Arabidopsis thaliana: one gene and its partner. The protein of the gene in region 1 interacts with the protein of each later gene in a pairwise test. Each region holds a gene or a part of one and is shown in the gene's direction. Other genes may lie near its edges. The genes, in order: ESE3 and CIPK3.

Region 1 (3,743 bases):
GACATATCAAAATTATTTTTGTTTAATTAAAATTACAGTTGTAGTAATGTTGTTATTTCAAAGGTACATATATATTTCCATTATGTAACTTGCTGATATTAGCATTCAGTACCATCCTTCTTTTACTACACCACCGAGAGAGATAAGTTACTTTCTTTTTTTTCGTTTTCTTATGGACATGGATGCAAATATACAGACAAAAAAAAGCATATGTTGAATAATTATTAGGGTTAAGAATGATTATTAGTAGGGTGAAAATGATCAATTATTTGATAAAAAGTTAATGACCTTCTCTAGTTGTTTTTCTTGTCGTCATAATTGCGGTCTAGGATTCTTTCATCAATTTGATACTGGATTGAACTAATAATATTTGGCACTTGTTATTTTGATGTATCCATTCTACCTACACACTCTTTTGCCCAACATATTCTTCTATTACCTCTTATTCCAATTATAATTGACTCTAAAAGGATATAGTCTCAATTGGAGATTATTTTTTTTTTAAATATGCGTGCGACTGAATATGATCGACATAACCTTTACTTTTATTTGATGAAACTTTGTCGAACAAAAGATAAATTGGCAAACAAAAACATCCATATATAAACCCAAATAAGAAGTGGTTACTATGTGACATTCCCTATACAATTAACATATACTACTATCTAAAAATTGTAGATAAGTTTATGCAATATTATACTAATTCCCTCTCCAAGTTTCAGTAATGGGCATAATCACATATTTATTAATTATTAAACCTATGTTTTTAATTGAAAAATAATGTATTAGAGTTTTTTTTTTAATAGGTCGCAGACTCGTAGGTAAACTGTACACTCAGAAATCATGGGTATGATGACAATACATTAAGGTTTGTTTCAATAATAACAATACAAAATAATATTAAAGAAGGGAAAAGAGAAGATGATAATCGAAGATGGTTTTGGGTGTTTGATTGAGTCATTATCAAAGGCTCACATGGGTGAAGAATGGTGATGAAAGAGTCTCGCTAGTTATCAAACTATATATTTTCCAATTATTTATCGTTATTATTAATTAGTTGGGGAAAAATTTGGCAGTATCTATGATATAGAGACATGTTGTGATGATCAAACCCATGTGAAAATAGGTACAGTGGGTTTGAAGTTTCACCGCAGCCAAATCTCTTTGGATCCAACTTGTTCACAATGGGAAAATTAAAATAATTGATAAATATATATGCTATATACGTAGGGTTGTTATTATATTTAGAGCTATTTATTAGTTTTATCTTAAAAATACCCCATAACTTAGGATATTATAACTATAATTGTCTAAGTATAATATGTGTAACTTGGGACAAAAGGAAAAGAAAAAGGTTTGGATTAAATTATCTTAGGTTTGATTTCTAAACCGTTTTAATTAATTTATATTTGTTGATAAAAAATTAGCTTTTGTTACAGAAATAAATTCATATGAAACTATTGAACATTTGTAATTTTGTATTCTAACAAAAACTGTGATAAGTTTGTTAATTCATAATTTAAATTCTATTTTAACTTTTAGATAAATTACGATAATACTTTCCAAAAAATATCTCTAAATAAAAAAAACACTTTTCCGACAGTTTAGCATGTAGTTTCGAAGCTTTCAATTTTCACTATAATATGTGACAGAATTAGATAATCCATTTGCCCATGTCGCAGCAACTTCGAATACAACAAATGAAGTAAATTTAAGAATACTTTAAGTTAAATAAATTAATATAACTCTCTCTCTCACATCAAACAAAATCCATGAGATTTTCTGAGTCGTATTGGTAATGGTGTGGGTCCAATTTAGGACCAAATTGATTGCCAGTTTATTGCCAAAGAAAATTTTAACACAAAAACATTTCTCTCTCTCATGAAGCTAAAGCCAACACTACTTATATAGCTACCCTTCACTCTTCCAAAAACGCTCCTTCACTCTCATCATTCTTTCTTCTTTCAAAACATTTCCACAAACACACCAAACTCACCTGAAACCCTATTTCCATTTACCATTCACACTAATGGCACGACCACAACAACGCTTTCGAGGCGTTAGACAGAGGCATTGGGGCTCTTGGGTCTCCGAAATTCGTCACCCTCTCTTGTAAAAACTCTCCCTCATCATCCTCTCAAATTACGAAATTACCCTCGGTCGCTTTTTATTTGAGTAATGCTAAACTTTTTTGTTTTTTTTTTGTTTTTTTTAGGAAAACAAGAATCTGGCTAGGGACGTTTGAGACAGCGGAGGATGCAGCAAGGGCCTACGACGAGGCGGCTAGGCTAATGTGTGGCCCGAGAGCTCGTACTAATTTCCCATACAACCCTAATGCCATTCCTACTTCCTCTTCCAAGCTTCTATCAGCAACTCTTACCGCTAAACTCCACAAATGCTACATGGCTTCTCTTCAAATGACCAAGCAAACGCAAACACAAACGCAAACGCAGACCGCAAGATCACAATCCGCGGACAGTGACGGTGTGACGGCTAACGAAAGTCATTTGAACAGAGGAGTAACGGAGACGACAGAGATCAAGTGGGAAGATGGAAATGCGAATATGCAACAGAATTTTAGGCCATTGGAGGAAGATCATATCGAGCAAATGATTGAGGAGCTGCTTCACTACGGTTCCATTGAGCTTTGCTCTGTTTTACCAACTCAGACGCTGTGAGAAATGGCCTTGTCGTTTTAGCGTATTCTTTTCATTTTTATTTTTGTTTCCACAAAAACGGCGTCGTAAGTGATGAGAGTAGTAGTGAGAGAAGGCTAATTTCAAGACATTTTGATCTGAATTGGCCTCTTTTGAAACACTGATTCTAGTTTCTATAAGAGCAATCGATCATATGCTATGTTATGTATAGTATTATAAAAAAATGTTATTTTCTGATTTTTCTCCATGTAAACCAATTGAACACTTGAAACCAAAAACTAAAAATTACACATGTGTTCGTGTGTGAAAAAGTGGGAATTTAATGTAGTGAAAAGATACAACAATGAGAAGAAAGATATCTAAAGTAGTGAAGAGAGATGAGAGTTTGAATATTTTGAGTTAGCTTTTGGTTTTGTTCCATGCATGTTCTAATTTTTCAACGGTGGGCCTTCATTTTTTTATTTTTATTTTTGGTAATTTGGGATTGCTGCTAAGTAGAAAAAGAGTGTCCCTAGCTGTGGCTTGACGACCATAAAATCCAACTTTTTAATTAGAGGGATTTGTGTTTTCTAGCACCTTATATTAAAATAGAAAAAATAATTTAGCTACATAAAATAGGTGTTTGACTGCAATTACTCTGTTTCCTTAGAACACTCTGTTCTTCGAACAGTCCAAACCTATTATTTATTTGTTTTGTTTGTAATGCGAATAAAAGGAAACTAGTGTTTTCCGACCACTACTTTAACTTTTGTAACAAAATATGATTTACATTTACTACCTTAAGGTTGAATACGAAAATAAAAATATTCTCTAGCAAAGAATGGAAAACATAACATGAGCAGGCTTTAATATATCCTTGACGATCGGTTGATTCTTCTTGCATACATATACGCGATAATATAATATCAGTTGTTAGCAACAAGCCAAAATAGCTAAATAATGGCAATTCAATATGGTTAAAGCTCGTTGCGATATAACCAGTACACATGCAATGCATCTAAATTGCAGCAGACAAATGATTTGACGTTAGGAATTATTTGGATTTAAAGATTTTCTTGCCACCTTAATTATTTGCATGCAATAGAT
Region 2 (3,600 bases), on another chromosome or scaffold:
ACGTCAGTGGGAAGAAGCAGCGACAGACTTCTTTGAGGCTTTTAAAAATTACGATGAAGCTGGCAACCAAAGACGTATACAGTGCCTGAAGTATGTTTCCTATGATCTTCTCATCTCTTTATCCTTTCTTATTTGATACCCTCTGGTCACTTGATTATTAACATGGTATAAAAGTAAATATAAAAGATGTAATGGATGATTAAAGCAAAGCATATTATTTAGATTTGACTTGGGACATGGTTTTAGGTGCATATGAGCATTATTCGATTACTCTTGTCCAGTAACTTTCTGTGATCGGTCCAAACATGTTAGAGTTAATGATCTTTGTTTTTTTTTTCTTTTGGCTATGCAAAGGTATCTTGTTCTGGCGAATATGCTGATGGAGTCAGAAGTGAATCCGTTTGATGGCCAAGAGGCAAAGCCGTAAGTCATTTCCGTATATATTTTTTGTTGAACACTCGTTTTGGTTCGTTGCTTCATAGTTGGCTCTCTGCAGGTACAAAAACGACCCTGAGATTTTGGCAATGACAAATTTGATCGCAGCATATCAACGAAATGAGATCATAGAGTTTGAGAGAATACTAAAGGTAAAAAGTGAAGTATTATTGGGTTGTTTTTTCAACTCATTATATATGAAAACGACACTCATGGAATGGTTTTTGGAATGTAGAGTAACCGGAGGACGATAATGGATGATCCATTCATCAGAAACTACATGGAAGATCTGCTGAAGAAAGTGAGAACACAAGTGTTACTGAAGCTGATTAAGCCATACACAAAGATAGGGATTCCGTTCATATCAAAGGAACTGAACGTGCCAGAGACGGATGTGACGGAGTTACTAGTGTCGCTGATACTCGACAGCAGAATCGATGGTCACATTGATGAAATGAACCGTTACTTACTGAGAGGCGACAGTGGCAATGGAAGGAAGTTGCATAAGGCGGTTGATAAATGGAACTCACAGCTCAAGTCTCTTTCTTCAAATATCACCAGCCGAGTCTGTTAACTTGGAAACCTCTCTTTTGGATAGATTTTGTGATTTGGCGTTGATTCTTTGTGGATTATCTGTTTCTCTTCACATAGCTGGATTTGATGGAGTTTATAAACCACTTCAATGCCAAGAAAAAGGATTTGAAACTTTTCTTCATTCTCATTTTTAAAATTGATTTCTTAACTTTGCAGCAACTAGATAGTAATTGCAAGCGATGGGTGATATGCACCGGAACTCTTACAAATAACGTGGATGTCTTTTTCGAGTAAGGTTACGACTATGAATATTAAAAGTGAAACAAATCTGAACAAGAAAATTAGGTTCGAATAATTTAATTAGCTTTTAATTTGTCAATCTTTCTGGATCTTTGCTTGTTGTTACACACTGGCCAGTGGGCCAGTTGCCACTGATTAAATTTTATAATAACCATTCAACTCAAAGTAAACTCTGCACTATAACTCTCATATATCAAATGTCAGTCAAGTTGAGACTGTTAAAGCGAAGCTGCATAAAATGTGTTTGTCCATATAAAAATTGAACATTATTATATATAAAAATACAAACTTATCTGGTGGTATACCATCTAGATTAGATCCTAGTATTGTCCTTTTTTTTTTACAACAGATTAGTATCTTTTACATGTTCAATCTTTTGTGGAAGACAAAATTACTTAAATCGAAAAATCTTGTTAGTTATTGTCACTATCAGTAAGTCAATAAACAAACATTCATCACAAAAACAAAAAAACAAAATCTTCACTAGTCACAACAAAATTCGCCCCAATTCTTTGATCCATTAAAAAAAACTAATATTATCATTTTTAATCATTATTATTTCAGAATTGTTTGGCAAAAATAATTCAACATTAAAAAAAGAAATTTAATATCAAAATAAAATAAAAGAAAAGAAAAGAGAAAACAGATCCGAATTGAGTTCATCATCTTAAAACTTTGAAATCGGTTACTGTGCCTTTTTTTTTTTTTTTTTTTTTAGTGGTTACAAGTTACAAAACTCAAAAAAAGACCAAAGACAGCAATTAATTTTTGTTTCTTTCTGTTCTAAGGATCTTTGTCTGCTACTGAAACTCCTTAAAGCAAAACTGTAACTTCTCACCAAAAACGAATTTTTCCAACAAAAATTTAATAATCAAAATAAATCTTCTTCTTCTTCTTCATCGTTTATCACGACCTCTGTCTCTTCGTCTCTCTCAAAAGCCATTTTAAATCTCTCTCTTTCTCACTCAATCTCTCTGTAGCTATCAGATCTTCTCTTATGTTGATCCCCAACAAAAAATTAAGGTTCTTTTTTGCTTTTTAAATAAGTAATATATATATATATATATATATATATATATATATATATATAAGATTGAGATATTCTCTGTCTTGCTTCTTCTTTACCCTTTTCTTGTTTCCAATCAAATCCTCTAAAGTTTCGTTCTTTGTTCTAAGTTTTCTGAAGGAGTGATATTTGTTTGTGGTGTGGTTAGAGAAATGAATCGGAGACAGCAAGTGAAACGTAGAGTAGGTAAATATGAAGTTGGAAGAACAATTGGAGAAGGAACGTTTGCTAAAGTTAAGTTTGCTAGAAACTCTGAAACTGGAGAACCTGTTGCTCTCAAGATTCTTGATAAAGAGAAAGTTCTCAAGCATAAAATGGCTGAACAGGTTTTTGTTATTATTGAATTATGGATACTCTGCTTTCGCATTGCGGTTTTTTATCGGTTGATTTTGATCTTGCTTGTGTTTTTTTGTTGAATTTTACAGATTAGAAGAGAGATAGCTACTATGAAGTTGATAAAACATCCAAATGTTGTTCAATTATATGAGGTAATTAACACTTCTTTAGATAAATGTGTTATTTGATTATGTACTATGTACTTGGAAATTACTTACTTCGAAATTGTACTGGTTGTTGTTGTTGCAGGTGATGGCAAGTAAGACGAAAATATTTATCATCTTGGAGTATGTTACAGGAGGAGAACTCTTTGATAAGATTGTAAGTTAGTTACCACAATTATAAATGGTTGTGATTCTGTGATGTCACATTATAGTTGTGAAATCTGATAGTGATAACTTATGAATGAAGGTAAATGATGGGCGGATGAAAGAAGATGAGGCGCGGAGATATTTCCAACAGCTTATACATGCTGTGGACTACTGTCATAGCAGAGGGGTCTACCATAGAGACCTCAAGGTACATACATTGTTTTTATAGATGGTAGGACTGAAACATGGTATATTGATAGAGAAGTTACCTATGCATATATTATGTGCAGTAAGCCAGTAATTGACTATTGTAATGTGATTTTGCAGCCTGAAAATTTACTATTGGACTCCTATGGAAACCTCAAGATCTCAGATTTTGGATTAAGTGCTTTGTCCCAACAAGTCAGGGTAATGACCATCTGTTTCCATAAGTATTTTACTGTTCCAAGAAGTGGTTTCATTTTTCCTAAGAACTTACGGATTTTGTTGTCAAAAATTATATACATATATCTATTCTTAAACATGGTTTATATGCTTGGGGATATCAGGATGATGGACTCTTGCATACATCGTGTGGAACACCAAACTACGTTGCTCCTGAGGTCTGCCTAAAACAAA

The links.
Region 2: the proteins of ESE3 (region 1) and CIPK3 interact in binary tests that used the Arabidopsis thaliana proteins (3 or more experiments, as listed by UniProt).

Annotation. Positions count from the first base shown.
Region 1 is NC_003076.8:8,705,942-8,709,684, reverse strand, and holds ESE3 (Integrase-type DNA-binding superfamily protein), read left to right. Parts: upstream 1-1,799; 5' UTR 1,800-2,029; coding exon 2,030-2,112; intron 2,113-2,215; coding exon 2,216-2,678; 3' UTR 2,679-2,940; downstream 2,941-3,743.
Region 2 is NC_003071.7:11,517,093-11,520,692, reverse strand, and holds the start of CIPK3 (CBL-interacting protein kinase 3), read left to right. Parts: upstream 1-2,000; 5' UTR 2,001-2,266; coding exon 2,267-2,292; exon of another isoform or gene 2,293-2,483; coding exon 2,484-2,661; intron 2,662-2,760; coding exon 2,761-2,823; intron 2,824-2,920; coding exon 2,921-2,992; intron 2,993-3,082; coding exon 3,083-3,190; intron 3,191-3,309; coding exon 3,310-3,390; intron 3,391-3,530; coding exon 3,531-3,584; intron 3,585-3,600. Other genes in the region: FUS12 (proteasome family protein), read left to right, coding at 1-90, 355-423, 497-587, 671-1,009. UniProt on the Arabidopsis thaliana protein: Involved in the resistance to some abiotic stresses (e.g. high salt, hyperosmotic stress) in young seedlings, by regulating the expression of several stress-inducible genes (cold- and salt-induced genes but not drought-responsive genes).